Linked DNA regions of Oryzias latipes. The main gene of each other region encodes a partner of the protein of the gene in region 4 in a complex. Links are inferred from orthologs where the notes say so. Each region holds a gene or a part of one and is shown on either strand. Other genes may lie near its edges. The genes, in order: vps72, ruvbl1, jade2, meaf6, kat6b, kat5 and kat6a.

Region 1 (4,720 bases), about 13 Mb from region 4:
TTACGGAGGTGGAAAACTGGTCTTATGACTGGGGATTCAAATTTTCAGTAACTAAAACAAAATGCATGGTTTTTACTAGGAAACGTGGAACTGTTTTGAACTTAAGGTTATATGGAGAAGCAATTGAGCAAGTACATAGTTTTAGGTACCTGGGTGTTATATTGGATACAAAATTGAAATGGAGAGAGAACATTGATAGTATAGTAGGGAGATGTAAGAAAGTCATAAATATAATGAGATGCTTGAAAGGTACTGGGTGGGGAGCTAGTGCACAGGCTTTAAAACAAATATATATTACAATGATTAGGTCAGTCACAGAGTATGGAATTATTGTTTACAATACAGCGTGCAAAACATTATTACATAAAATAGAAGTCATCCAAAATCAGGCTTTGAAAATATGCACTGGGGCTATGAGGTCAACTCCTGCTGTGTCATTACAAGTTGAAATGGGGGAGCTACCATTGAAACTAAGAATTAAACAGCTGATGCTTAACTATTGGGTGAAAATACAGGGTTGTGTAGATGTAGAGAACATGGTTAGGAGGGCTATTGATCCTTGTTGGGAAAGTGATAATGGGACAAATGAAAGTGCTGCTTGGAAATTAGCTAGGTTAGCGAAAAAAGCAAATATTCATGGCAAAACCCTAGTTAAGACGTTTTTGTACCCGACCACTCCTTTCTGGATTTTTCCAACTGCGCAAGTGGATTTGTATCTCCATAGAACAATGGAGGATAGAAAAGGGAAGGGAAACTGGGATGAGTTAACAGCAGACAGATTAGACACAGCCCACGCTTCATTTATACCCATATATACAGATGGATCTAAAGACCCAGCAACAATGCGAACTGGTTTTTCTTTCTGTATCCCTACATTGGACAAATCTGTTGGAGTTAAGACGTCAAAGGATCTTTCAGTTTTTACAGTTGAAATGTTGGCAATATCATATAGTTTACACTGGCTAGAACAGAACAGAATTGGGGATGGTATAATTTGTTCAGATTCATTGTCAGCTTTGATGTCTCTGAAGTCATACAATTCTGAGAGCAGATCAGATATTTTATATGAAATTTATGAGAGTTTGATCAGGTTGGCAAACTTGAAAATAAACATCAGATTCATGTGGGTACCAGCACATAGGGGGGTGGAGGGAAATGAAATGGCTGACTTCCTGGCAAAAAGGGCATTGAAACGGGGAATAGAGATGGAAATTCCATTAGATAGGACAGAATTTAGGGCAATTGTTAGGAGGCGTATTATGGAAGAATGGCAGACACAATGGGAAAGGGAGAGGAAAGGAAGACATCTATTTAGTATTCAGGACAGAGTAGGGAGAGGTATGAATGTCAGAGTAAACACCAGAGATAGCTGCATAATATCACGGTTGAGGATGGGACACACTGGTTTAAATAATACATTGCATTTGATAGGGAAACATCCAACTGGTTTGTGTGAGTGCGGGAGAGGGGAAGAGTCGGTGGAGCATGTGCTATGTCAGTGTGAACTGTATAGGGAGGAAAGACGACAACTGGAAAGTAGGGTACGGATGATAGAGGGTGAGCAAATGACTTTAAAGAAGCTTTTGGGAGGGGAGGAGAATTTCAATGGTGCGATTATAGGTTTTTTGAAAAGAACTAGGTTATTGAGGAGAATTTAGTTTATTATTATTATTATTATTATTATTTTTTTTTTTTTTTTTTTTTTTTTTTTAAGTTACATTTGGTTAGGTAATCCCCACTCTGACCCACACTCCAACACAGTAGGTGGCGGTAATGCACCTTCACGTTAGTGCCTCCCGCCAATAAAATCACAAGAAGAAGAAGGAAGTGCTTTCCGTCACCCGGATGTGCTTTCCACAGTTCTGTAGTGTTTTGCGCTGTAGTTATTCGTATTTATTACTTGAAGATATTGCTTAGAGTGGCTTAAACGCCACTTAAATTGAAAAATGTATTAAATACAGGCGGCCTTTCATAATTCATTTAGTGCAGAAAAACGCAACGAAAGCGTGAGTCTGGTGTTCCACTGACAACCGCTGCACAACAAGCTAACCCGGCTAGCGGTGTAGCTAACAGCAGGTACTATGAGTCTGGCAGGAAGCCGTGAACCCAGAAAGACTGCGGGAAACCGCATGTCGAAGCTTCTGGACGCCGAAGAAGAGGACGAGTTCTACAAGACCACCTATGGAGGATTTCACGATGTGAGTCAAACAGACCTGTGGCTGCAGGAATGAATAACTAGTGAGCTGTTACCCAGAGAATAAGGGATAAGATGAACAATATGGGGAGAAAGTTGTCTCACTTTTAAAGATGAGAGGACTGTGATGTTTAACTTTAAGGTACACTTCACCTGTAAGAGACAAACTAGAAAAAGAAGCAGGAAATCACATTGTAGGATTTATTTGTATAATGGTGAAGAAAATATGTGTTTGTCTTCCACAAACACAAGAATTCTGTCCCCAACAGACCTGCTACTTCTTCTTCATGAGTGCTACTGTTCTCTCCTGCATTAATGTCACCTGTTTGAACTGCTTATCTGTTTAAAAGACACCCGTAACATAACAGCTGTCGAATGGGACAAGACTGTAGACCTGAGCAAGACTGAGATGAACCAATCTACGATAAACAAGCAGACTGATGGAGATCAACGGTTGGAGCTAATATTAGACGGTCACTGGCAGTCTCTTTCCAACTGGGGTTGGATGGAATCTCTTATTTGTGGGGTTCAAATGATCTTGGGAAGAGTATGGAGACAGAACCACAGGGGGGGATCCGGTCAATGACCTGAAGGGAGCGTAGATCATAGACGCTCCAAAGGTCCCTATGCTTGAGTCAGCACATGTCCAGGCCTGCCTAAAGTTGGTCAGAGACCATCTGGATGATCCAGAGGAAAATTTGGAGATTGTCATAGGGTCAGATGAGACAAAAATATGTTTTTTTTTGGGGTCTATCCTCTTGAGAACCAGCCCATTTATTTACGTCCTCTGTAGGCAGAAGTTGTTTTTGGATTATTATTTGGCTCATTTGAAGCTAAATCCTGATGTGCTCAAATAAGGATATCCTGGCCTTTCCAATAATATCTTGTGTGTTTGGGTGGAATTATGGGAAGTTTGGTTTCCTGGGGAGACAAAACGGAGTCTTCAAAGGTCATAAATTAATATGCTGGTTCTCAGGAGGAAGTGTTTGGAGGAGCGGCGTCCCAAGAACACCGTACCCACTGTGAAGCATGAGGGCGGGAACATAATGCTTTGAGCCTAGATCTTCCATAATGGCAATAATCCCCAAAACAGCACCAGGGCAACCGAAGAGCGGCTACGAAAAGACATTTCAAGGTTCTGAAGTCGTCTAGCCAGTCTCTGGAGCTCAGTCCAGTAGAGAACCTTTGGAGTCTAAAAACATCACTGCTCTAGAGAAGATTTGCATGGAAGAATGGACCAAAATATTAGCTACAGTGTGTTCAAACCTGGTGAAGACCAACAGGAAACCTTTGACCTCTGTCATTGACACCAGGCTTACATTACAAAGTGTTGAAGTGAACTTTATTTATTGTCCAAATACTTAATTTTTTCTCTATTATAAAAATTCATTCCTTACAACAAATCAAACTTTGTGATTTCCTGGATCTATGTTCATATTTTGCTGCTCACACACTTGAAGTGGACAATGATGTTCAGAAAATGGGTGGAGCAGCAAACTTTGAAACCTTTAAATAGTGAGAAAATCTGGACGAATTTAGCAGCTGCTCCATTGTGTGGAGAACCACCTTTTTTCAGTTATTTCATTGTTCTCTTATCTGGGCTTTTATTTTGCAGGAATCGGGAGATGATGAATATCACGGGGAACATTCAGACACTGAGGATGAGGTTGACAGTGACTTTGACATTGATGAAGGTGATGAGCCGGATAGTGACCAAGAGGAAGACGCTCCTCGGAGGAAAAGCAGAGTTGTTACTAAAGCTTACAAGGTATTTTGTATTTCTTTCAACTTCATCAGCCTTTAAATGAAGCTTCTTCATGAACAAATGGTCTTGTATTGTGTTCTTTATCGTTTTTGCGTTTTTTGATAAAGTAAATGTTTGTTTCACTAATGTATTTGAGCTTCTGTAGGTCAGTTAAGTGTCTTTCTAATCTGGAAATTAACTCACTGCATAGTGTTAGGGTCAGAATGACCCTTTTTATAGCACGGAGTTATGTTTTCTTGTTTCTTCAGATTGTTTTGTTCAATCCCCCATAAATAAGGAGACAATTCTACTAAACATTTGAGCATTTGCTTTAAAAAAACAAAAAAACTGGACTTCATTTTTTTGTTCGTTACTAAAATCTTCACAGAATATTTTTGACCCTTGACCCAACGGATGTAATCGTTGGAAGATGTACAAATATTCTAAAGACGTTTATTTTGAAAATCTGTACAGAAAAACAAAACTATTGTATTTAGATAATACACTTACAAATGCTTCCACTGTGGAAGGTCATCCAGAAAATATAAACATTTTTAATCAATACTATTGGTTTTCTTTAAATTAATTACAATAAAGGAACATTTCAAAGACTGACTACTTTAGGCTTAAATCATGCTATAAATCTCGCCTCCTTGAAGAACAGCATTAAAGCAGATTTGAAATAAATACCAATAAGATTTGGATGTTTTTAATTAGGATTGACTTGTGAAAGTGTTGGTTTTTAGTTTTCTTACTTTTGACTGAAGGAACCCATAAAGGTG
Region 2 (4,705 bases), on a different chromosome or scaffold from region 4:
TATAGAACATGTAGATGATTAATTCTCAAATGTTATGAATAATATTTATTACTTGGTAAATATCACATTCGTTGTAGTAAATAGAGAGGCAGAAAACCATCCTGTCCATGTTTTTGAAATGAATTCATGATATATTTTAACTCAATAAAAACCATGAAAACCTGGAAAACTGCCACAATAGTCATCCAAATAAATCCCTTGTTTTAGTTTCTTTGCATCATATTTTTGTATTTTTATTCTTATTTTATTCCGCTTGAAAAAGTTCTCTGTTTTTGGTCAAAAGTAAATGACTATATTATAGTCTCTATAAGATTGGCCATGTAACTGTTCCCTACCAGACACTGGATGTCAGTGTGTTCTGATGTGATCAATCAATCAATCAATCAATCAATCAATCAATCAATCAATCAATCAATCATATAACAGAACAGCCTTTGCCACCATTGCATACTGTCTGAATGCCTCGGAGGGCTTGGGAATGTTGGACCTTGAGCCCCTGACCCTTCATGATGCTCAGTCCATCCATGATCTTCCACAGGTTTACGTTACCTCCGATAATTGTTCGGATCAGAGAGGCGTGGCCTGGACAGTCCACCAGGGTAAACTGCAGACTGTCGTACGGCTTCAGGCCCCCGCCGTCCCGCAGGTGATCCGGACAATCCACCGTGAAGGAGGAGAAGCCGAGGTCTAACGTGATGCCTCTCTCCCGGGACTGTGGGTTCTTGTCGAAAGCAGCCGTGGAGGCGGTGCTGCTCAGCGCTCTGGCCAGCGACGTCTTCCCGCTGTCGACATGTCCGAGGACCCCCACGTTGAAATTTAACGTTTTCGTGCGGCTGTCATGAGACTCGGACATCCTCTCGAAGTTTCCGAGCACGAACGTTTTCCTACCTTGAAACCTGAGCACCGCGTTGATAGTTATTTGGAAAAAAAATAACGTTCACTGCGTTAGTTGGTCAAATCAACAAGTCATTTTCGGTGCCTAAAGTGTCCCTAAAAAACTGCAGAGTTTATGGTGCTTACACTTTATTTCGTCCCCGATTACAAGACGAACCGGAACGTTTATATGCGGGGAACAAACCAAAATAAGAAAAATGTGATATTTAAATATTACAATTTAATAAAAAAATATAACACAGAAATATATTTCTATGTATAAAATAAATATTTTAAATTATCGATCAATTAGTGTTTTTTATACTGAGGCCTTTTTTGTGTGTTTCTATTACAACAAAATAAAACGAAGCACAGGAGGAAACAGGGGTGTGGTTTCAACTTTGATTGACAGAACATTGACTAATCAGAAATGCTCTTATCATGAGGAAAACCAATGGTTTTCAGACTAGTTAAAATGGGCGGTACCTCAGGGGTGTCGATTCCTGCTTTTTTCCCCTGGTAACCCACATGGAAACCGTGTTTTGACTTTTGGCGCCTCATGTAGTGGTCAGAGAAACGCAGACACTTAGGTGACATTTTTTAAACTTTACTTTGCGGCTTGGACAGTATTATAGCCAGTGCTCCTGTAACACTTGCAAATATGAAAATCGAGGAGGTAAAAAGCACCACAAAGACCCAGCGAATAGCTTCACACAGTCACGTCAAGGGACTCGGGCTAGACGAGGCCGGCAATGCTAAACAGACAGCATGCGGACTGGTCGGACAGGAGGCTGCCAGAGAGGTGATGTTAATCATCTTTTTTCTGTTTCAATTGTATTTTATTTTCCTTCAGACATTACTTGCACATAAGTTCCTATGAGAACACGGTAGCAAATTGCTAACCCCTGATGCTAACTGAGTTAGCACAGCTGCGTAGTTTTCTTCTCAGATAACCTGCGAGACTCCTCCTTAGTTAAATTAACACACAGTTTCCAAAGTAGCGATTTATTTTTTTTATTTCATTTAATATATTTCTTAAATTAAATTTAAAAAAATGAATTGAAATCTCTTGATTATATTTCCATCATACAGGTACAATTTTTATTTTATTGGGAAAGAAAAACGAAATGTGAAACTCAAACTAAGGTATATTTCTTATTACACATTTGTAAGTCGACAAAGAATCTACATCAAAACCGTCATAAAGTCAAATGTGATCTGTAGATTATTTAATTTTATTTATTGGATGGAACTAACAGCACTGACAGTTATTTCTTTATAATGGAAAATTGTTGGAACCATAATAAACAGTCATCATATTATTTTTTTTGTGTTTTTTGTTTGCTATTGTTACATTATGGCTGCTAAATAATTAAAAATGCAAAGAAAACTCTAATACATTATATAGATCGCAGTGTATTTTCTAGACTCTAAAGTGGAACAAGGCAGGATAATCGCCTCTAAAACACGTTTTATTTTATTTTTATTTGATGAAGAAGTTCATAACAGGATTTTCAACTTAATTTCATGATGTATTACTTCAGTTTTTAATTTCATTCCATTCTAAAAGCAGTATTGGGTGGATGTTAAAATATGTTTTTACATGCGTCGGAGGTTTCAACTGACCGATTGCACTTAAACACTGTTTTGAATTCTTACCTAAGAATCATCCTATTATAAGGAAAATTAAAATCAACACTGCACTGGCAAAGTTAAAAAAATAAACGATAATAATAATAATTTCCGTTTGTGTTTTTACCTACCCAAACAAGATTGTCTGTGCTGGTTTTAAAGGGCCAGTATCATGGTATTCTTAAGCCTTTTTTAGGGGGGGGGGGGTCCTGTGGTAGCATATTCTGTGAACTTGAGTGGGCGGTGGGGAGGGGGGGGCGACGACGACATTATATGGGATTTCTACCGAATATTAATGTAACGTCTTGCTTTAAATTTTTAAAATTTGAACATGTTTTTGTGTAAAGCACTTTGAGGGGCTCTAGAGGGAAAAGTGCTACACTAATAAAGTTTGATTTGATTTGATACGACGTTGAAATGACATTTATAAATCTCAGTTTGAGTCCTGCAAAAATGTATATCACCAAAACAATATCAATGTATCTGATAATACATCCTGTGGCACACAAAAGAACAAATCGACCTGCAACTTTCACGTTTCTGTTTATTAGTCTTACTCAACATCGTAGTTATAAAGACAGTTTTCCTTTTTCCTCATTGTTATACTTTAAACTAGGCCTGCACAATATACCGCAAATTTATCGTTATCGCAATATCCAGCTCTGCAATATGCATATCGCAAAAGACGGCGAATATCGCAATAAATCGCAAGCCCAAAATGTGTTAAAACAATCTTCTAGCAGCTTGAAGCATTTAACGAATCAAATAAATCCCTTTATGCTTTGACCAATCAGATGGACGCCTTCCCATTGTTGACCAATCAGATGGAGGCCTATTATGTTAACCCTGGTCCTGAAGAGCCTCAACCCTGCCTGTTTTCCAGCTCTCCTTAACCAGCTTGCTGTTGATTGGCTGACTCAAGTGATTTCACATCCTGATTGACTGAACACACCTGATTTTGGTTATCATTATCGAGCAGTCTAGGGAGAACTGGAAAACAGACAGGGTTGAGGCTCTTGAGGACCAGGGTTAGCCACCCTGACGTTTGTCCCCCATGTCGATGAGGGTCATTTGGAGTATAATTTTTAAACTGTTGCAATGAAATGGGAATGATGTTTTTGTTTATTTTTCTATTTGTTTATTTACCGCAAATTTATCGTTATCGCAATATTGATCACTAATATCGCATATCGCAAGTTTTCCTCATATCGTGCAGCCCTACTTTAAATGTTGTATTTCTCTTTGGTTTCTCTACCCTTTAGGCTTGTGGCATTATTGTTGAGCTGATCCAGGCCAAAAAGATGGCAGGAAGGGCCATTTTACTGGCAGGACCCCCTGGAACAGGAAAGGTAAAGCATCAGTGAAGATGCCGGCGGACTCTAACGCTCGTCCTTCATGCAGACTCTTACTGTGACGCCGTGTGTCTTCTGCCTTTAGACGGCCCTGGCTTTGGCCATCGCTCAGGAGCTGGGGAACAAGGTTCCGTTTTGCCCCATGGTGGGCAGTGAGGTCTACTCGTCTGAGATAAAGAAAACAGAAGTATTGATGGAGAATTTCAGGAGGGCAATTGGTGAGTGTAATCGATCCATTTATCCAACAGGAACCATGGCAACCAAGCCAGATAGTTTTGGAATTATATCCATGAAGACATAGGGTTTGTTAAAGCAGAGAAAAAACGTTTTTTCACAACTTTGCAGCGTTTGAAATAAGCAGTTATCCTGTTGTCAGAGACAACCAGATTTCCCGGAGGACAACCCCAAATGAACACGATGGTTGTCCGTGTGACAACCTGGTCTTTTATTCAACATTTTTGGGAAACCGACGTCCGACTTATCAAGATAGAACCGAGTGTACACGAACGATGTCACGTGACGTCTGAACGATCCGAGTACGCCCGAAGAAATCGCAAAATGACAACATTGCAGCTGCATGTCTGGTTTAAAAGATCAGGGATATTAGTCTTTACTGCTAGTGCAGCACACAATGTAAACATGGTATCATTTACATGTGTTTATTTGAAATAGATTTTATATCATATCATAACTGTTCATCACATATAAATATTACTTTATATTTGGAATGCTGTACTAGTCCCAGTCCATACAAGTGTTCTAAATTTGAAAAATACTCATTAAGTTACAGTGTTGGTCAATTTAATCAATTTTCTGATATATTATAGGGTAAGATAAAGTATTTTCAT
Region 3 (4,086 bases), on a different chromosome or scaffold from region 4:
ATCATTACTATAACTATACTAGACTGTGGTTTTGTTTTTTTGGGACATTTGCAGTAAACTGGTCCTGTGTAGCTCTTCATGCTACTCTGACCTCATAAAATAGCCCACATTTTGTTACCAAAGGGAATTTTGTTTTCAATGAGGTTCAATCTTGAAGCCCAAAGATCACTTTTGTGTGCTGAGTCAGTCAGTTTCTTGAGGAATCAGAAAGACAAACACTTTATTGATGTGTTTCAGGTGTCTGCCGGCATCCTTGGCTGAACTGTCCAACAATGGGCGGCAAAAGGACGGAGAGTCTCATTTTTCCCGCCCTCAGCCGTACACCTGCTACGACCTGGATGACCTTGATGTTGCCTGGCTGCAACTGGTCAACCTGGAGTTCAGACAGATGGGTAAGTAAAAAATGTCGAGTTTAAACTTTTAAAAGAAACAATAAATATGCTTCGATGCATCATACATCCTGTTTTTGCAGTTTGTGGTTAGAATTTGGACAAGAATGCATTCACAACTCTTTTAAAGCAAAAACATCTCAAATTTTACTTCAGTTCCTGCAAAAAAAAGACATTTTTAAAAGTCTTACTGTCTCATTTTTAGGCATTATTGGGATTTATTTTTATATCCCGCATTAGTCCTGGTCTGCTAGGACCACATTGTTTTTGCAATTCTTCCTTCCCTCTGCGCGTTTGAGGGAAAATTTAATCCTTTGCCTCCGACTCAAAAACTTACTAAGATTTTCACGCACCTACTACCCGGGGAAAATTAATTTTGGGCAGATAGATGGACCTCCTCAAAAAAATGATGACGTCTTATGTCGCTGAAAAAACATATTTTTCCACAAACAAACCAAAACAGGGAGGTCCAATGGAAATTAAAAAATTATTATGGGATGGCCACAGGACATTTAGCTTGGCGTCCGTTTAGTGGTAGAGTGTGAAATTTGGCTGATTTTCTTATTTTTCCACAATATGGGAACAAGGACTTTTGTTCGAGTGAACGTCATAAACCTTCACACGCACCACAAGGTTAGGTGTACAACCATCCCCGAGTTTTGTTGACCTCTGACCTTGAGAAAAGGCTGCCATCTTAAACCTTCCAATCTGTACAAAATGATATAACATGAAATGTCAGTATTATGAATGTGGGCGTGGTTAACAAAAAGCCTCAATTCAATTTAATTCAATTATATTTATACAACCCAATATTACAGTAGTTGTGTAGTAATAAACATGAATCATAAAGAACGTGAAGTCATAGAATATTCAATAGGTAATGGCTAAACTAAACTAAACAGACTAAGCTAAACTGGACATGTCTGCCCTTAGACCCTCCTTCGCGGTGAGGAAAAACTCCTAAAAAAAATAAAGGAGAAACTTCAGGGCTGTCCACAGGAAGGAGTGGGCATCTCTTGCCAAGTAAAATCCAAAATGTACATTCCCAGATTCCTTTTAGAGTTACACGGATCAATTCTCTATTCCCAGACAACAGGGAAGTAAAATGGTTGCCATGGAGAGAAAAAAAATGTTTTAGAAAAGCTGACATTTTGGAAAAAAGTTGTTTTTTCTTGATGACAACCGACTTACTACATATTTGTTTCTATAAGAAGTCAAAGTTAAAGGGGAAAAAAAAGTCAATGTCAATTGATGCTGATGTTAAGCTGAGCTCAGAGTCTAATCACATAATGTCTCTGACATTTTTAGCTGTAGTTTGTCTAGTTTTTGAGGGTTTCAGGTATAAAAGTAACATTTGTCTAGAGACACAGGATTTACACCTTCTTTTTCTAAAGAAAAACTTCTCTGAGATCATTCAAATCTAATTTAACGTCTGAAGAAACATTTACACAACTTTAATTTGGTCTTAAAAACTGTGCAGTGTCCCTGATTATTCCTCCCCCTTCCATCCCCCTCTCCCTCCCCTCTGATTTGCTGCACTCTCCATTTTGTCATGGTGACAACTGCTGACCCCGAGCATCTCCCACATCTCCACCATTTTATTCGATATCTGATCGGCCCTCGTGAGATAAAACAAAGTAATTGTGTTAGTAAATCCCCGCTGGGGTTGCAGGACTTTTTCTGGTACAAGTTGTCCCTTAAATCAAACAGACACACACACACACACACAGGCTCTTCCTGGAGCAGAACGACTTGTTTCTCATAACCTTCAACAACAGATTAAACAAAAAGAACAGAACATTTAATGGGTTCTGCTGGCTGAGACTCCAGATTTTAGATTGAGGTGATTCAGCATTTTTCTGCCTCTGCTTTCCATCATCTTCATAGGTGGAAGGGACGTCTTCAAAATGTTTACCCAGAGGATAGAACTCATCATCGAAATGATTTTTTTTAGCTACAGTTACACATTTTGCATGAACTCCCATTTTCGTTGCAGAAGAGTAATCGTGACAATATCAAAGATTAGGGTTTTATGTTAATGATTAGGATTTATACCACAGTAAGTTACAGTTAGAGAAGAGCAAAATGCTCCAGTAAATTTATTTAAATGTGATAAAACTGTTGTACTTTTCTTTTCTTTCAAACCACCCAAAATTGTTAAGCGGAAAAAAAATCAGATGAATCAAAATGGACATCTTCAGGTTTTCAGAATGTCCTCTTTGTTCACATTTGTGTCTTTTGTAAATAAAGGGTTTTTTTCTGACATGAAATCAAATTCTATCATTTTGTCATTGTAAGACTCTGACACTAAGAGAACATCAAAGTACTGTGTTAAAGAGACAATACTTTTGTTACTGTGGAGCAGAAAAGCATTTGTCAGTCACTGATTCTGTAAGTTTGGGCTGTAATGTTTACCATTGAAACACTTCAACTGTGAGAAACGGAGTGTCAAAAAAGAATCTATTGAATCACTATGAACCAGTATGACTTTTCTTTTAAAGAATCTATTTATAATAGAGGAGAAAATAAGTTTTTGACCAATAGCAAAGGTACACCTCAATACTTGCAACCCTGATTGTTGATGACAGAGGTCAAAGGTTTCTGTAGGTCTTCAGTAGGTTCGCACAGTAGCTGCTGCTCTGGTCCATTCTTCCATACAGATCTTCTCAAGAGCTATTATGTTTTGGGGCTTTTGCTTGAAAACTCCCTCCGCTGATCGTCTATTGGATTAAGGTCCAGAGACTGGCTTGAACACTCAAGAACCTTGAAAAGATTTTCACATAGCCACTCTGTTGTTGCCAGAGTGATGTGTTTGGGATCATTGTCCTGCTGGAAAATCCAGACATGTTTTATCCTCAATGCAAGAGAAAAAATTCAGTGTACATCCTCTCCTTAAAAGGAGCCCCAAACCATGATGTTTCCACCCTCATGCTTCAATGATACTGTTTTTTGGAATGTAACTCCTCCAAACACGCCAATAAGTGATTATACCAAAGAGTTCCATTTTGATATTATTTGACCACATGACTTTCTCCCATTCATGATCCGTTCATCCAGATGGTCTTTGGCAACGTTTAGACGGTCCTGTGCATGTGGCCTTTGGTTTGAAGCCATGTTTGTTACTATCGTAAGCTCTCTTTACTATGGTCAAAGCTTTCTTCTTTTCATTGGACAGTGCTCCCATGTAGTTCTTGCTTTCATCCTCACCATTCCCCAGATCATTTGTACCCCACCAGGTGAGATCTTGCATGGAGCTCAGGTGGAAGAACAGTGATATTGTATTTCTTCCATTTTCTAATAACTGCTCCAACAGTTGATTTCTTCTCATCAAGCTGTTTATTTATTGTAGAGCGATTCATTCCAGTCCCGTTCAGGTCTACCATGTTGTCCCTGGTGTCCTTTGACAGCTCTTTGATCATGGTGGACAGTTTGCAGTCTTACTGTTTAATGGTGTGCATAGGTATGTTTATACAGATAACCAGTTCAAACAGGTGACATTAACACCGGTAACAAGTGGAGGACAGAAGAGCTTCTTAAAGAAGAAGTAACGAATCAAATCGAATCAAATCAAACTTTTTTAAATTAAAAATTCGGTGCCTGTGAGGGGCAGAATTCCTGCTTGTTTGAAGGAGATAAACGCTTATTTTCTGCACCATTATACAAATCATACAATTTCCTGGATTCTTTACATTCTGAC
Region 4 (4,708 bases):
GCTGTCCTGTAGGCCAGCCCTTTCAAGCCATTGGTAGGACTTCTTGACATCCGCCACTTCAGTTATGCTCCGTAGGTACATCCCATGCAGTCCTCCCATGAGGATCTGTCCTCCACTGCTTCCTTTGCTCTCCATTGCCTGAGACATTCACTGAGCACACTGTCAGTTGGGGCCTTGAGCTTGATGTATTCATGCATGTTGGATGTTTCATCCTGGATAGTGGCTTCTACGCTCACTAGTCCTCGGCCTCCTTCCTTGCGGCTAGCATACAGTCTCAGGGTGCTGGATTTGGGATGGAACCCTCCATGCATGGTGAGGAGCTTTCGTGTGTTAGCATCCATGGTCTGTATCTCTTCCTTTGGCCATCTTATTATTCCTGCAGGGTATCTGATTACTGGCAGTGCGTAGCTGTTTGTTGCCCGAGTCTTATTTTTGCCATTGAGCTGGCTTCTCAGGACTTGCCTTACTTGTATGAGGTATTTAGCTGTTGCAGCTTTCCTTGTTGCCTGCTCCAGGTTGCCATTTGCCTGCGGAATTCCAAGGTACTTGTAACTTTCCTCAATGTCTTCCATTGTTCCTTCTGGGAGTGGGACCCCTTCTGTGTGGACTACTTTGCCTCTCTTTGTCACCATCCGGCTACATTTCTCGAGCCCGAATGACATCCCAATGTCAGTACTGTAGATCCTGGTGGTGTGGATCAGGGAGTCAATGTCACGCTCGCTCTTAGCATATAGCTTGATGTCATCCATGTAGAGGAGGTGACTGATGTTGGCCCCATTTCTGAGTCGGTATCCATAGCCAGTCTTGTTGATTATTTGGCTGAGGGGGTTCAGACCTATGCAGAACAGCTGTGGGGACAGAGCATCACCATGGTATATCCAAAATTTGATGGACACTTGTGCAAGTGGCTTCCCATTGGCTTCATTTCCTATGAAGAGTCCTTTTGATGTTGTACAGCTCCAAGCATTCAGTGATCCACGTGTGTGGCATTGAGTCATAGGCCTTCTTGTAATCAATCCAGGCTGTGCACAGGTTGGTGTGTCGTGACCTGCAGTCTTGAGTGACTGTTCTGTCAACCAGGAGTTGGTGTTTGGCTCCTCTGAAGACTCTACCAATGCCCTTCTGTGTGTTTGCTCATGTATTGATCCATGTGCCTATTTATCTTGGTTACAATGATGCCAGACATGAGCTTCCATGTTGTGGATAGACAGGTTATTGGGCAATAGTTGGTTGGGACTGCACCCTTTGAGGGATCCGTCTAGATCAGGATCGTTTGCCCTTCCGTTAGCCATTCGGGTGAGTCCCATGAGCAGCTGGTTCATTTGTGCTGGCAGACGCTCGTGGAGTGCGGTGAGCTTCTTTAGTCAGTAGGCATGTAACATGTCAGGGCCCGGTGCTGTGCAGTTTTTCATACCTGAGACTCTTTCTTGTATGTCTGCCACTGTGATGGTTACTGGATTCTGTTCAGGGAGGTTGCTATTTTCTTTTGTCAGAGAGACCAGCCACTGGGCATTACTGTTATGTACTGTCTCTTTCTTCCATTTACCTTTCCAGAACTCAGTTCAAGTATAAAACAAGGTAGGAAGAGGGTCCTTTCACAACGCTTGGGCGCCACCTTGCGGTCTTATCTTTGTCGGCACCAACGCGTCTCCAGTTTTCCTGAGCGCGCGCGCCTCCTCCCGTCGGTTCCGGAACGAGCCATCATGTCGATGCACGCGAAGGCGACCCCGCCGCAAATCCCGGACACGCGTCGGGAGCTGGCGGAGCTGGTGAAGAGGAAACAGGAGCTCGCCGTGAGTCCGCAGTTCTGTTTCAGCGGGTTAAATGTTTTTTTTCGGAACCCGGGTTTAGCGCGCCAAGCTGAGATACCCGAGCATTAGCTTATGCTAGCTGAGCTAGCAGGCCGCAAAACCTTTATTGTGAATTGTCCTAACTAAGCATCGACCAAGAACAAAAACACTTTATCCTCACATCGAAAAAAACATTTAAAGTTTGTGTTTCTGCGTTTCATGTTTGAATGTTTTATTTTTTCACGTTTTTTGACGAACAAAATCCAAATTAGTTTACAGACCTGAAGCACGAACAGTGTGTTCTCGCGATACCTTACGTTTTGAAACTCTTTATTGTTCAACACCGTTGTTTACAGAGTGGAACCTACTAAGATTTAGTAGTGAAAAACCAAGTTACAATCGCGTTACATTTCTGTCATAGGTTATTTTTCTTATCTTTTTGCGACTTTTACTGTTTTCATCTCTAGTTGTGCTTCTAGTAATACTCTAAGTAATGGAAAATGACCTTTATTGTAAAGTACTAGTGCGTCACTTAAAATTACTTTTTTTGTCTAACATAAAACGTTTAACAACAAATTTGCTTAATTACCCAGTACTGTAGTAGTAGTTTTTTTGGTTTACATACTCGTTTGGTTTACATACTCGTTTTTTAACATGTTGTTATTGTTTGGACGACTACTCTTTAACTTTTGCCTCCTTAACATTATTTAAAATAATGTTTTGCTTGTACTTGAAAGATGTTTCCCGTCAATTTATTGACCTTTATTGACAATAACAAGCGTCAAATTCAATTAAAAAGTCTCAAAATGGAATTTTTCTTGAATTTAGTTGGAATGTATAAATGCATGTATCCATCATCTACCACTTCAAAGATAGAAAATGTTTTTCTAGTTGTATACTGACTCTGCAGTCTTGTGGATTTCTATAAACATTGAATTTAGTTCATAAATTGGAAAATTAGATGATTGGGTTGATCAACTAGGAAGAGAAAGACCAATTCTGGAGCTGAAAAATTCAAAGTTTACCTCAAGTGGCTAAATAATGAAACAATCTTTACCAGAACCTCAAGAGGATTTTCAAGTTTTTGATGGTAAAAATAAATGAATGAAATAAATTTTAAAAAAGCTATCTTTGTGAAAAGATAAGCACTGATCTTAGCTTGACCAATCAGAACGTCTGCAGTAAAACCGTTTTAACGACACAGGAGACGCTGGTGAACCTGGAGCGGCAGATTTACGCCTTTGAGGGCAGCTACCTGGAGGACACTCAGATGTACGGGAACATCATCCGAGGGTGGGACCGATACCTGACCAACCAGAAGTGAGTGTGAATGCGGCAGACTCCGGTGAGGTTAGATCTTCTGTGCGTTTGCTGATCGGGTCCTTTTCTTTTTCTGCGATCAATCAGGAACTCCAATAGTAAGACTGACCGGAGGAATCGCAAGTTCAAGGAAGCGGAGCGTTTGTTCAGCAAGTCCTCTGTCACGTCCGTCGCAGTAAGTACTTCCTGCGCGTGATGCGTTCAGCCATCTCATGTGAAGTTGCTCCTCAGTGGTCTCTTGTGATTGGCAGGCAGTGTGTGCGCTCGGCGGGATCCCGGATCACATGAACGAGAAGCGTGAGTCAAATTTGCCTACTTTCCTGGTGCCTGGGCCTCCTCAGAATGCCGGTTCTGACTTGTTGCCTCCCGGGGGATTCCCCAGGTGAGGCCGGCAGCGGCACAGAGAGCGATGCGTCTCCAGACCTTCAGAACCAGGAGAACGAGCCGAGTCAGGAGGACACGGAGGACGTGGACTCCACGCTGCACGACCTGAAGCCTCAGAAAGCCGCCTCCTCTTCCTCAGGCAGCCATCACGGGAGCTACAAGAAGAGGAAGAACAAGAACAGACACAGGTGAGGTGTGGGCGGGGTTAAAGCTGAGCCGCAGCAGATTCACCAGAACTTTTCTGTTTAAATTTGGAGATTTACAGCTTTAACAAGGCAAACTAATATATTTGTGTTATTAAGATCAAGAGAACAGATTACACTTAATAAAAATTACAATAATTGAACATTTTTACAAAATATGGTGATTTTTTTTTTTTTTTTTTTTTTTTCCGTCTTCTTCTGACTAAAAAAGTTGAAGTAGAAAACGTTCATTTCCTAAAAAAAATGCTCGTGTGATTGCTGAAGCTGGCTACAGATGATGATGATGATGATTAGGGCTGAAACGATTCCTCGAGTTACTCGACTTACTCGATTACAAAATTTCCTCGAGGAAAAAACTCTGCCTCGAAGCCTCGTTACATTCCTATGACGCGCACTATACGCAGGGATTTGATTGTGTCACACGGACCTTTTGAATTTAGTTGGCGCGATGGCGGAGAATAGATCTATAAATAAACGGCAGAAATTGTCTTAAGTGTGGGATCATTACACACTTAATAAAGAAGAGAACAAGGTGCAGTGTCTGTACTGCAAAATAGAGCTGGCATTCCACAACAGCACATCTTCCATGATTCAGCATCTGAACAGAAGACATCTGCGCGACCGCTGGAACCCCGACGCCTTACCCGCGCGTGCCGCCGGCAGCGAGCGAGGGGCGGCGGGCCGTGGAGGGGGCGCCGATAGGCAGGGGCTGGGACAGGCGGTAGCTCGCCTTTCGGCGGACCGCAAGGCTTCTTAACATTTGCATCAGAGCGGATCTTTAAAATCAAATGCTTGTTCATTTTACAACCACATCATTTTTGTTATGCATTATTTGTTTTGGTTGTTCAAAAACGCACACAAATCGTTTTATCCGATTACTCGATTAATCGATCGATTAAGTGCTATATTAATCGATTACAAAAAGAATCGATAGCTGCAGCCCTAATGATGATCATGATGAAGCACCGGAGGATCTTTTGAGGCTGAAACGTTTGATTTAAAAAAAAAAAG
Region 5 (4,086 bases), on a different chromosome or scaffold from region 4:
CACCTTTATATGCCCCCAGATAAACACATCAGTATTAAAGGAATAAGCAGAGCCACTGGGATGTGTCCGCACGACATCGCCGCCACTCTCCAGCAGCTCGGCATGATTGACAGACGAGATGGCAGGTCAGTTTCCGAGCCTCAGTCTCCTTTAGCCCGCGCTTCTGCTGCTGCACGCCGTCTGACTTAACCAGGTCAGCAAGTATTTTTAACAGCATATCCATTATTGCAGCTGAATATTGACAGAAGTAAGTCAGGTTAAGAACCCCAAAGGATACTTGGCACCTGCGGTCCCAAAGAGCTCGTCGTCGTGTCTGTATTTAACCACGCGGCACTTTACCTCTGTGCCGTTAATTCATGCTTTTTTAAAATGTTTGAATCTGTGTGTCATAGGACTGTGTTAGTCAGAAGAGAGCGACTGATCCAGGAGCACATGGAGAGGCTGAGAGCCTGCCCACGCCAGAGAGAAGTGGATCCAAAGGCCTTACGGTGGACTCCTTCCTCCACTCTCAACCCCGTCCTGTCTGAGGAGGAGAGGGAGGTGGAGATGGATGTAGGTTTTTTTGTTCCAGAACCACGTTTGGGTTTTTTTTCTGTTCATGCTCTCCTAAAATGATGTTTATTTAGCCATTTTCAGGCATCTGATACATTTGATCACTCTCATCGACTGTGAAAGCGCTATCGCAGTTTTCTCACCAATATTCTCTCAAAAAGGAGGGGATGGAATACAAAACAAAGGTGGATGGAAGCAGTTGAAATATGTCTTTTATATATCACCCCCAAAAAAGATTGGAAATCATTTACACATCTATCCCAACACAAATGAAAGAAAAGGCCTTGGTTGTGCAGTCAAGTATTGTAATAAAACAACAGAGAGGGAGATTGAGGAGCGCTTTGTTATCTGCTTGAATCATCCAAACAGCTGGTTAATTGTCCCATTAACTCGTAGCCGCTGTGTGTGTTTATCCATTTATGTTGCTGCTGCAGATCCATGTTGAAATGAATGTGTTAAACGGACAGTACTGGTTCAGTCACAGGAAAGCACAACAGAGTGTTTGAACGCGCTTCGTTTCCCTCAGAAGGAACAAAAAAGCGAAACTAAAACGGTTTCATTTTGGTCAAAGTCCCACTCTGATCATCTTTTCTATTCTAAAAGCGTTCCCAGTGTTCTTTTAATTCGGAGTTTGTTGTTTTTAGCCAAAATTTAAAAAACCTGTGTCGTTTTCTAGGAGATAGTTTCTGCAAAGTGGCAGTAGTTAATTAGAATTTTACCCCTGAGTTTTGACAAGGAGTCTATGCCTTCATTTCCCATCATCCCTCGTTTTACACGCTCTCCCTCTAGCTTACAGCCCCCAACCTAACATTACCGGTGCAGAAATAAAAAGTAGCTAGCAATATCGGAACGTTCCAGCTGTACAGTTTTGAACCGGATACCAGCTCGGATGAGGAAAACAAAGACGTACATGGATCTGTTTGTCTACAAGTGGATGCATCAGAATGAAGTGAAGCGAGGAGCTTGGGGCTTGCCCAGTGGATATTCTGCGACACAGTTACGATCTTTTTCAGACTGGATTTTTTTCCCTCTGCTTTATCCAAATTGAGAAGAATTTGGATAAAGAAATCATCAGAAATGCAATTTTTATCTTAATTTTCCTTTATACAAGTCCTCCATTATGAGAAAAGTTCCATTTTCATCGGAGTGGGTCTTTAAGGGGGTAAAATAAGGCCAGTAATGGAAAGGCAATCTCTGTGTCACCACATAATTGATAGTACTGAATATTCCATGAAAAGCAATCTTTTAATGGTTGCTTAACAGAAATGTTTCCATCACGACCTGCAGACATCCAATCAAGGAGCTGCTCATATTAAGTGGAAAAACGTGTATTGATTCATTTGTCATGATGTTAATTCGAATCACTTGTTTTCCCATTAGCCTCGTTGCTCAGATATTCCATCCCTGCGTGCTCCTTTCCCAGAGATAATGCGTCTTGTCTGTTTAATTACCAGGCTGAGCGGCTGAAGGAGCGGGCCAGTTGCTGGGAGAAGGAGGAGAGGGAGGGCTACACCGTGACTCACGGACACAGGCAGCCTCTCACCAAGGTCCACTGCAAGATCCCCTTCCGGACCTATCAGCGGCGGCCCACTCCCACCTGGACCAGGCGAATCCAGCAGCCGGAGGCAGTAAGCGACGACGAAACCGATGAGGACTCCGATGCCTCGCCGCCCGTCCTGAAAAAAGCTCACGCGATACTGGCCGCCAAGAGAAAGGTGCCTTTTGGTGTTTGTGTGACAGATGCAGGGCATCACTGGTCTGCAGTTGTAGTCTGTGATAAAGTGGAATTGCATGACATTTGGATATTATCTTTCATTAAGGAGCACAGTGGTTACTTGAGTGAGATGGAAAGGTTTGATAAATATTCATAAATTTAGTTTAGGGTTCAGTGGCTTCCTCCTGTCATCTGCAGCCTCCCCGTGTGCCTGCAGCAGCAGATAATAGATTGTGTTTTCACTGCCGGTGTTGAGCCTGTGCAGGCTAAACCTTGTACCATTGTCAGTGGTCATGGTTAATTTACCGCCCTCTTCCCTGCGCCTCACATCTGTTCTGTCTATAAGGCACTGCCCCCTTGTGCTGGAGATAATAACACTGCCGGCTGCGCCATGTCAGGAGACCTTTTCAACAAGAGAGGCATAGAAGCCCGAAAAGAATGACACCGGCTTTTGGAGCTTATTTAGTGCATTACAGTATTGATTTCACATTTTCCTTGTGAAGGACTTTACAGCAGAAAGTGGCTGAGTTGCAGGCAGCTGGAAGGAAACAAGCGGAGAATAAAAAAGCTAGACCGTGGTCTCTGCTTACTCTGCCTTTCTCATTTGTGGTTTTGCACAGCGAGCTCCATTGCTTAAACATTTAGTCTTTCTGTGTGGTTTAAACATTTTGCACAGACTGAATATCTTCTATTCTCGCTTGTTTCTACACCTAGTGGCCTAACCAAAAGAGCGGCTCTGCTGTGCAGGAGGCGTTTATAAACCCCTCTTTGCTCTGTGTTTCAGAGAACCGCCATTCTCAAGAAGAGAGGCCGTAAAAGGAAGCAGATAAACAGCAGCGTGACGACAGAAACCATCTCTGAGACCACGGAGGTCTTGAATGAGCCGTTCGATAACTCCGACGACGAACACCCCATGCCCCGGCTAAAGCGCAGCTCAAGAGGGGACGAGATGGAAGATGACGACGATGAGGAGGAGGAGACCCGAAAGCTGAAGACTGTAACTGTGCCTATGAAGCGGCGGAGAGGTCGCCCAAGGCTGGAGAAAAACAAGCTGACGAGCAATCGCGAGTTCTGGAGTGAAGGTATTTGAGCGCGTTTTTATTTTACAGGATGTTTCTCCGTGGTAAGACTCTGAAGATCTGTTGTTCTGCCTTTGATCCGTAGATTGCCTTCTGTCTAAGAGAACAAGCAAACCTCGTCCAGTGAAGCGGAAGAAGGGCTGGCCCAAAGGAGTGAAGCGTGGCCCTCCTAAATGGAGGTTAAAGAATGAACGAAAGATGGGCTTCAAGCTGAACCTCTACACTCCTCCTGAGACACCAATGGAGGCAGAGCAGCAGCACGAGGAGGCAAAACAGGATCCAGACCAGGACTTTGGAAGTGCAGATGAAGGCAGCAAAGAAGGGAGAGGTTTTTCTAGTCCAGTCATGATGCAAGAGGAGGTCCACTGTCCACCCTCGAGTCCTCCTCAACATCTATCCCAACATCTAAGCTCCCCTGAAAGGTCCCTGGAGACGTCTCCGGTGTGTTCTCCTGCTGGCTCTGTCGATGCGGTTTCTCCTGCAGCCGTGGAAAGAGGGGACTCCACGGAGCCAGCTGAGGAGGACCAACAGGGAAGTGGACGTGAGCAAGACTCATCAGCCAAAGATTTGGATCAGAGCCCTGAGGGGGCCGTCTCCCTGAAGACCAACAGTGTTGAGGAGGTGGAGCTTCAGGATGCAGATGATGAAAGCCACAGCAAGGCAGCAGGACCCAACAGCTGCGCGGAAGACTTTGAAAATCTTCCAAAGGAGACCCCAAAATGTGCCCAGCCCTTTTTAAAT
Region 6 (3,744 bases), on a different chromosome or scaffold from region 4:
GGATTATGTGAAATGCTCAACACTCAACGTTAATGAGGATTCCTGACAAGAGCAGGAGTTTGTCAAACAAACGTGAAGTTTAACCGGAAGGAAAACCAATAAATCCTTTGCAGTGACGTCCAACAGGTGCTGCTATCTGCCATTTGGGGAGTAGCACACATTACTTTGAGGCATCCGACGGGTAAAACCGGCGACTTTGGTGTAGAGAAATAGCCATCAAATCTCATCATGGTACACATGCTTTGCTGTTGGCTGACACTACAGAGAAACTCCAAACTCGAGCGTCTCATTTGACCGATTTTTGTGGGATGAAGATGGAAAACAGTCAAGCAGGATGGGAGACCGCCTGCAGATGCCAGCAGACTCTAGTAAACATTTTATGTCATGTATGACTATGGTCTCAGTTTATATTTGTCTTAAAGGGGACACAAATTTAGGGATGGGTGCCGTTTGGGTTTTATCTGTGCTGATATGTTACTTTCGAAAGTAACAGAACCATTTTTTGGGTTTTTATTTTAACTGAATTATGGAAAAAAAGATGCAATTTAAAAAAGAAAAAAAGGAGCATCACAGGTTCCTGCAGAGCCTGAATTTTTCTGAGCTGCTCATTTCTCTCAGTCAGTCTCCCTTATCCTCACCTGCACCATGTGGATGATAAATTATTATTGCAAAATTAATGCAACTGATGCTCACTGCATTGTTGAACGGGAAATGCTTTTCGTATTTTGTCAATATATAAGAACACACCTTAATAATATGTCACTGAGTCTTTAGACGGGTTCGCAGTGTAAAATCACGAGAATAGTAATTTGTTTTTTTCATTGCACAGCACTTCATTTTTGTCAGTTTAAGTTCACTGTGCCTCACAGAAGTGTTGATTTAATGACGTGAATGTTTTTTTCACAAATACTTGGTAGTAAGAAGAGGGCAGCACTTTTTATTCTTTTTAGGAACTGTTTGCTTTGTTAATGCAGTGAAACAGTAGAGGGCAGGAAAGGTGAGAAGCAAAAAAAGCCCCAAAAATCTCACCAGATGCCTCTGGAGACACTTGAGGCTTTTCAGGTACTTGAGGCAGAATTCACAGAGGTAGAGAATGGGCAGAGTGGTCAGCTCCTGTGGGTACGGCGAAAAGTACCACGGCTTGAGCCTGTGCCGGCCTAACTCGATGCACTCGATGTTTTTCATGCGGGTGATGATGTCATCGTGACTGCGATCTGACACCAGGCTGCCGGTCATGCGGGGTGCTGTCGGTATACCATCAGAACTGTCTTGGGAGTCCTAAACGAAGACAGTGGCCGTTAGTCCCAGCTGATCCTTAAAACCAAGTTACAAAACGGTTTCACAGGGTTATACTAAACAAGATTCTGTTTTGTAAAGATCAATCATAGATATTGATTTTACCAACCGAGAACAAAATTGGATCAACATTAACCAGAGTCAATCATTTATTCGAGCAATATAAACAGCTGATTTTGGACTTCAATACACAATAAATTAGCAATAACAGGTAAATGAACAGACCTCTGGTGGGGGTAGAAAGACGGCGGCACTTTGAGGCTTGTTATACTGCAACACCTTTATCATCTAGAGAACACATGGTGGCAGAATCTTAATGCAAGTAACAAAATGAAACCTTTGCACTTTGACGAGTTTTTAAAATCTTCTAAAAATCGAGCTGCTACATACCTCATCAGGACCCCCACAGTTAGCTTTCCTCTTTCTACCAGGCTGAGGGGGTATTAGACGCCGGGCGGTGCCGTTCTACAGCCAAAAGAAGACAAACAGCTGCTTATTCCTAAAACTGTAAAACCTAGAAGAGAAGTTCATGATGATTTAAGAAAAGAAGATTTGCTCCACCGTTGTGACTGTGGGAATCGGCTCAAGGTCTTCCCGCGCCTTGAAGGGGGGGGGCTCTCTTACGACAGGGAAAACAGCCGCCTGGGAGGTTTCAGTTGAGCTCGGCAGGGCGGGCACAGGGGTGGCGGGTGGTACCGGAGTCACCAGGGGAACCACCTCTTTCCTCTTCTGCAGCAAATATACATCATTACAAATCCTTTTAAAATGGGGGAAAAATAGATAAACATTTGACCAGGACATTTTTTTTTTTACTTTAACCCCTGAAAATCCTGCACAAGCAAAGGAAAATTATCCAAATGTTTTATTCACTCCTTATGACTTTACTACCGACAGAATTGTGCTCTTATCCTCTATGCAGTTAGAAGGATTCTATATATTGCATTCAATATCTAAAATTATTGAAACTTGAACAGACTACATACTTCTTTGACAGATTATAAGCTGTGTTGATAAGCAAAACCCCCCCAAAAAATGTAACAACCAACTTGTTACTAAATCCCTGCATCTTGACCTTTTTCTGTAGCGCCACGACTTTCTTCTTCTGACTCAGCTGCACTTCTAACCTGAGCTAAAGAGCGATACAGTCAAGCTAGTATGATAACAGTTCTAATTAGGTCTCAGAATGGGTAAATTCTACTTGTACCGGCGTGGGGAGGGTTTTGCCTCTGGAAGGAGCTGTGGCAGATTGGAGGTTGAGATCTAGAGTCTTCCTCTGAATTGAACACAAAGGAAGATAAGGGCATTAACTGACACGGGGTTAATGACATGCAGGATTCAGCCGCAGGTTGATATTTCGGCTCACGAACAGACTTCGACTTCATGATTGGAACAGAATTAATAGCAAATTAATAAGTCTCTTGATTGGTTTATAAATGCCGCTTGTGTTTCAGAGTTTCATTAAATCAACCGGGCTAAGCAACATATAACAAGCTTCTTTAAAACAATTTGAAAAAATTAGACATTGTTTCTTTTTAAAAACAATTATGTCTGGTGTTATATTACCTGTTTCTTCTGCAAAGCTGTGTCATTGTTTGTATCTTTCTTCTCACTCACCTCACAGGAGAAAAGCAGACATGTGTTAAGGGCTGACAGCGGGGTGTCATTACATGATACAAAAGATCCACATTTGACATATAAACAGAAAAATACTGAGACTTTGGGTTCAAGGACCAATAATATGGGATTTTTGTCTCAGTAGTGAAAAAGAAAGTAGTCCCAGTCAGCTTTAAGGGCTTAGTTAATTACACATTTAAGGAGCAAGAAAGACTGAAGAATAGAGATTTTATAGTTAATACAATTTTACATAAAGTAAACCAGGAGATCATCATTCATTTCAATGAAACAAAAACACAAAAGGCAGTGTGTGGAAAAATTGAAAACTTTGATTTACTTTTTCTTTTCCACAGATTAACAGCATTTCTTGGATCACTAGTTTGCTACCTAATCCAGTTTTTTTTAAAAAAGGTTAAGAGCAGCGTGTGTAAAAAATAAAGCAAATTTCCCAATTACTTTGTTTCAGACGCCATAATTATTGGACAAACTTTTTCATGGCCAAGAAAAATAAAGAGGTCAGCTGCAAATCTCAAAGATGAAACATTGCTAAACCAAATCATAGATGGATTCTAATCGTGGTCTTATTAATTCAAGTTTAAAAGGATAAATCAGAAATTCTCAGCCTGACTGATATAAATGCCAAAAACCTGAATGCTCAATTCTTCGCAGCCGTCTAGCAGGAATTTGGGGTTTGATTTACTCTTTATAGTGTTTTTGTGAACAATGGAATAGTGCATTTAAACAATAATACACTGCAGTGTTCCTTATTAAAAAGATTGCTTTGTAACAAACATTTTTTGGGATGAAAAATCCTAAATGAGGTCCTTAAACTCT
Region 7 (4,086 bases), on a different chromosome or scaffold from region 4:
TTTGGGCTGTTCGGGGTCCCCGCCGGCGCCGAGGCCATCTCCAGACGTTTGATGGCTGAACGCCTCGCTGGGTGATTTTTCGGGTCCTTGTTTCTTCCACTGCAGCGGTTTGCGGCTCTTTCCTTTTGGCCAACCCTTCTTCTTCTTGACTGGGACATCCGCGTTGGCCATTTGTGACGGAGCTGCAGCCAGAGAAGCTACAGGCTTCAGCATTGGTGTGAAGTCTGAGGAGGAAACGTGACAGAGTTAGTTAGAAGGTCGACTTCAGGTACACCTACAAGGTTACAGGGGCCAGCCCTCCTACCATCTTCCTCTGAGTCGGAGAAGTTGGAAAGGCGGCCTCTCTTCGAAGGAGGGTCAGATAACATCAGGGCGGATCTTGCAGGGGGATAGCGGCGCATCGGGTGCCCCAGGGAGGGCTCCTCTTCCAGTCGGGGCATGGGCCGCTCAGAGTCAGAGTCCACAAAGGGCTCATCCAACACCTCTGTGGTTTCAGAGATGGTCTCCGTTACCACGCTGCTCTGAGGGTGGCTGCGACTGCGAAAACGAGGCCTCTTCAGGGGCTTCTGGGCACAAACACAGTGGATTAATTCCACTTCTTACCAGCTGCAGCCAAAAACATGAAGGAGGAGGTTCTTACCTTGCATTTGAGCCCCATGGCTGTCTTTGTGAGGATGGGTGGGGAGCACGCTCTGTTCTCCTCCTCATCTTCATCCTCCTCCTCTTCGCTACTTTCACTGAAGTGGCTCCGTCGGACCGGCAGCGCATCGCTCAACCGGGACATCACAGAGAGCGGCATCAGACCCTCCCCGTCTGCCAGTCTGGGCTTTGGGCCTCTCTTTTTTCTGGGGGGGCGGCCCCTCCGGGTGGGGGTTACGGAGGGGTGCCTGGCCATGTTGAGTCCCTGAAAGGCTGGAGAGTCCGCTTGATGGTCCAAGGAGAAAAGGGATGGAGGGCTCCTGGAGCTCGACGACGGTTTCCCCTCCACCGTGGTTTCCTCGTCTTCGTCGTCCTTGTCGTCCATGGGCCGCATTTTGGATGGGCGCCCCACGCGTGGGCTGTTGTTCAGTTTGCCCCAAGGCCAGTTTTTGGGTGGGCGGCCGCGCGGCCGGCGCTCTCCGTTTGCTGGCAGAAAGGGCCGCGGGTGATCGGACAGAGCTGCTTGAGAGCGGACGGGAGGGGAAGCCGGAGAGCTTTGACTTACAGGAAACCCCAAAAACCCCTTCCTTTCCTCTTCCTCATCGTCTTCATCCTCCTCGTCCTTGGTTCTCGCTTGCTGGATTTGCCAGGCGGACGAAGAAAAGTTGTGGCTCGGTTTGACCTGGTTACAGATCAAAACAAACGCCGTCAAAATGAAAGATGAGGCACTACAAAAGCATTTTTGTCGTGGTCGCAGACTCAAACCTACATCCTTGCGACTGTCCCCCTCTGGTCCCTCTTCGTCCTCATCATCGTCGTCTCCGTCGGCGTCAGAGACCACCGTGTTTGTCACGATGACTGGAGTCCAGCGAAGGCACTCAGGGTCCACCTCCAGCTGTCGTGGCCGCGCCTTCAAGCGGGCCATGTGGTTGGCCACAACCTTGTCCCTTCGCACCAACACAAGTCTGAGGAGGAAAACCATGAAGTTATTTCAAAATAAAGGTCAAAAGTCAGGCGACTTTGGGATTTTGTGTCAACCTTTCATGTGAGCTTTTATGTGCTAATGTAGAGGCTGCAGCATCTTTGTTCTCAGAGTAATGTGACAAAAACGAATTTAAAAACACAGCTGTGGTCCTGACCCGTCTCCTCGCTGTTCCAGCATGCCCAGGCTGTGCAGGCTGGAGGTGATGTCCTGCGGGCAGATCCCTGTCATTTTGCTAAGCTGCCGGATGCTGATCTGTCGGTCCCGCAGCTCGTGAAGACACTCCAGCACAACGCTGCGCCAGTAGGCCATGTAGGACAGCCGGCCCAGGTCGGACAGAGGCTTCTCCGGAGATCCGGGCTGCCCCTCCCGCTTCGACAGCAAGTAGCCTGAAAGGAAACGTAAACCAAAAGCAGATTAAATGAAAAATCTTCTTTTTTTTTTTTATAAGAGACTTTTTCAGCTATGAGTGATGAGTTTGAGGTTAGAAATCGTACTGAAGTCGATGAGGAAGCGCCCATAGCCCTGGCGCTGGTACTGCGGAAGAATCATGATGCATGATACATTGTATTTCTGCTGACAGTGCTTCTCCTGAGGGAAAAAAAAGACAAATGATTATTTCAAACATACAGAAAGTGTTAATGTTGTTTATTTAAGTCTTTCAACAAGCCTTTGCGCTCGTGGTTGTACCTTGGAGAAGTAGCCCACAAGATGGCAGCCCTTGCTGTCGTTCTGCGTGAGGACGTAGAAAAGGAACGGCTCCACGTCGTAGTACAGGGTCTTGTGGTCCAGGAACAGCTTGGCCAACAGGCACAGGTTCTGACAGTAGATTGTGCTCACATTTCCGTCCACCTAGTCGGCAGGGAAAACAGGCATCAGTTAACAACACATGGAACGTCTGGCAATCCCAAAGGTGAGAAAGGATTTTAAAAACGACAAGAGCTGCGCTTTAGAGAAAAAGATCAGACTGAGGCCCGCAGGACTCGACCGTTCTCCACACCTCAAACACGGAGACGTCGTCTTTCCTGTAGATCTCATTGGCAGGAGGGTGGAACCAGCTGCACTTCTTCATGTGCTGGTAGAGGATGCTGCGACTCTTCATGTAGCGCAGGCAGAACTCGCACAAGTACAGCTTTGGAAGTCTAGAATGACAGAAATGCAACACCATGGAGAAACAGTAGGGGGAGCATTTTGAAGTCTTTTGCAGAGACGTCCAACCTTAAGTATTTGACTAAGTAGTTCTGGCTGTTAGGTGGTGTAACACAGTGATCCCCAACCGTATTCAGGCCACAGACCGGATTGTGTCAGACACTTTTCACAGACTGGTCTATTTTTTTTATTTTGCCCATAGTTTCATATTATGCATTATTATCATGGTGTGTGCGATCAACTGTCACAATAAATCCACATTTACAGTAATAACTGATGGTTTTTCTGTTAAAGGAAACTTCTTTTTTTTTTTTTTTTAATTTGACTTCAAAGGCTCTTCTTTTTCCTTACAGACTCTTTTCTGCCAAAAGAAACTTTCCAAATGTTTTTTTTTTTTGCTAACTTTTCTAGCTTGGGGGGTTTTAATTTGGCAAACGGCGCAGCCGCTTTAAGAAAGCAGTGGATGCCTTTTTGACACGTGACAGAGCGACGAAAGAGTCAGATGTCATTAAACTTCCTTCAGAATGAGATAGTAAATAAAACAGAAAAACGTTTTTCTTTTTGGTGTGTGGCCCTTTACATCTCACGGACCGGCAGAGGTCCGTGACACCCCCTCCTCCCCCCTGGGTTAACAGACCTGTTCACTAACAGCTTTGTGTTGATGTGCAGTTTTGAAGTATGTTAACTTACCTGCTGTATTCCTGCGGGTAGGGAGATGAATACCAAGTCTGGATTTCAAACTTGCCAAACTCGATGACGGCTGGGCAGCGCATCTGAGGGTCAGGCGGACCCGTCACGCCCACTTTCTGTTGGGGTTGAGCATGAATATGAGGATGGGGAAAACAGGGAAATGAACATTTCCCTGGAGCCTCTTCACAGCATTGTGGTAAGATTTATGACAAACACGTAACTCTGAATCACTGCCACTAAGCCTGGATAATCACGCTGACCTTTCACAGTTCAATAGCTGGCAGAACGCCCACCTTCGCCTGACTTTACTGCAGCACATAAGCCTCTGACATCAAGGTAATTCATTTATTTAGTGCGCTTAAACTGTCAGGCCTCTGTGTCTTTCCGATCTTGCCGTATTTCCTATCAGTCATGAGAAGAATGCCAAACTCAAAAGAGTTCCTGTGGCAAAGCAGCTGTCCTTGTTATCTGGATCAATTATCCATGCTGAATCCAACAGCTGATCTGTGTCTTTGCAGAGAAAAACCTGCGATCCAACTTGACTTCCTGTCACCTCCTGCTCTTTCAGATGCCGTTTTCCTGTCTAAAGCCAGATGCTGCTTTGTTCCTCCTCGGTTCACTCGGCG

What was found.
Region 1: meaf6 (region 4) and vps72 share a complex: the UniProt entries of both Homo sapiens proteins name them as parts of the nuA4 histone acetyltransferase complex. The link is inferred for Oryzias latipes from reciprocal best matches to the Homo sapiens genes MEAF6 and VPS72.
Region 2: meaf6 (region 4) and ruvbl1 share a complex: the UniProt entries of both Homo sapiens proteins name them as parts of the nuA4 histone acetyltransferase complex. The link is inferred for Oryzias latipes from reciprocal best matches to the Homo sapiens genes MEAF6 and RUVBL1.
Region 3: meaf6 (region 4) and jade2 share a complex: the UniProt entries of both Homo sapiens proteins name them as parts of the HBO1 complex. The link is inferred for Oryzias latipes from reciprocal best matches to the Homo sapiens genes MEAF6 and JADE2.
Region 5: meaf6 (region 4) and kat6b share a complex: the UniProt entries of both Homo sapiens proteins name them as parts of the MOZ/MORF complex. The link is inferred for Oryzias latipes from reciprocal best matches to the Homo sapiens genes MEAF6 and KAT6B.
Region 6: meaf6 (region 4) and kat5 share a complex: the UniProt entries of both Homo sapiens proteins name them as parts of the nuA4 histone acetyltransferase complex. The link is inferred for Oryzias latipes from reciprocal best matches to the Homo sapiens genes MEAF6 and KAT5.
Region 7: meaf6 (region 4) and kat6a share a complex: the UniProt entries of both Homo sapiens proteins name them as parts of the MOZ/MORF complex. The link is inferred for Oryzias latipes from reciprocal best matches to the Homo sapiens genes MEAF6 and KAT6A.

The regions. Positions count from the first base shown.
Region 1 is NC_019869.2:7,277,453-7,282,172, forward strand, and holds the start of vps72 (vacuolar protein sorting-associated protein 72 homolog), read left to right. Parts: upstream 1-1,677; 5' UTR 1,678-2,081; coding exon 2,082-2,198; intron 2,199-3,809; coding exon 3,810-3,962; intron 3,963-4,705; coding exon 4,706-4,720. UniProt on the Homo sapiens protein: Deposition-and-exchange histone chaperone specific for H2AZ1, specifically chaperones H2AZ1 and deposits it into nucleosomes.
Region 2 is NC_019863.2:3,775,140-3,779,844, forward strand, and holds the start of ruvbl1 (ruvB-like 1), read left to right. Parts: upstream 1-1,534; coding exon 1,535-1,675; intron 1,676-3,767; coding exon 3,768-3,854; intron 3,855-3,942; coding exon 3,943-4,075; intron 4,076-4,705. Other genes in the region: eefsec (selenocysteine-specific elongation factor), read right to left, coding at 550-853. UniProt on the Homo sapiens protein: Possesses single-stranded DNA-stimulated ATPase and ATP-dependent DNA helicase (3' to 5') activity; hexamerization is thought to be critical for ATP hydrolysis and adjacent subunits in the ring-like structure contribute to the ATPase activity.
Region 3 is NC_019872.2:3,879,793-3,883,878, reverse strand, and holds part of jade2 (E3 ubiquitin-protein ligase Jade-2), read left to right. Parts: intron 1-237; coding exon 238-392; intron 393-4,086. UniProt on the Homo sapiens protein: Scaffold subunit of some HBO1 complexes, which have a histone H4 acetyltransferase activity. Acts as an E3 ubiquitin-protein ligase mediating the ubiquitination and subsequent proteasomal degradation of target protein histone demethylase KDM1A.
Region 4 is NC_019869.2:19,900,080-19,904,787, forward strand, and holds the start of meaf6 (chromatin modification-related protein MEAF6), read left to right. Parts: upstream 1-1,559; 5' UTR 1,560-1,703; coding exon 1,704-1,793; intron 1,794-2,994; coding exon 2,995-3,110; intron 3,111-3,197; coding exon 3,198-3,285; intron 3,286-3,361; coding exon 3,362-3,407; intron 3,408-3,492; coding exon 3,493-3,682; intron 3,683-4,708.
Region 5 is NC_019877.2:10,227,531-10,231,616, forward strand, and holds part of kat6b (histone acetyltransferase KAT6B), read left to right. Parts: coding exon 1-125; intron 126-392; coding exon 393-552; intron 553-2,006; coding exon 2,007-2,267; intron 2,268-3,050; coding exon 3,051-3,348; intron 3,349-3,430; coding exon 3,431-4,086. UniProt on the Homo sapiens protein: Histone acetyltransferase which may be involved in both positive and negative regulation of transcription. Required for RUNX2-dependent transcriptional activation. May be involved in cerebral cortex development.
Region 6 is NC_019872.2:15,158,211-15,161,954, forward strand, and holds part of kat5 (histone acetyltransferase KAT5), read right to left. Parts: intron 2,911-3,744; coding exon 2,860-2,910; intron 2,570-2,859; coding exon 2,495-2,569; intron 2,426-2,494; coding exon 2,369-2,425; intron 2,026-2,368; coding exon 1,858-2,025; intron 1,762-1,857; coding exon 1,687-1,761; intron 1,585-1,686; coding exon 1,522-1,584; intron 1,279-1,521; coding exon 1,030-1,278; intron 1-1,029. UniProt on the Homo sapiens protein: Catalytic subunit of the NuA4 histone acetyltransferase complex, a multiprotein complex involved in transcriptional activation of select genes principally by acetylation of nucleosomal histones H2A and H4.
Region 7 is NC_019867.2:24,405,000-24,409,085, reverse strand, and holds part of kat6a (histone acetyltransferase KAT6A), read right to left. Parts: exon of another isoform or gene 4,029-4,086; intron 3,797-4,028; exon of another isoform or gene 3,577-3,796; coding exon 3,461-3,576; intron 2,764-3,460; coding exon 2,622-2,763; intron 2,474-2,621; coding exon 2,312-2,473; intron 2,213-2,311; coding exon 2,119-2,212; intron 2,011-2,118; coding exon 1,779-2,010; intron 1,605-1,778; coding exon 1,409-1,604; intron 1,322-1,408; coding exon 641-1,321; intron 567-640; coding exon 305-566; intron 225-304; coding exon 1-224. UniProt on the Homo sapiens protein: Histone acetyltransferase that acetylates lysine residues in histone H3 and histone H4 (in vitro). Component of the MOZ/MORF complex which has a histone H3 acetyltransferase activity. May act as a transcriptional coactivator for RUNX1 and RUNX2.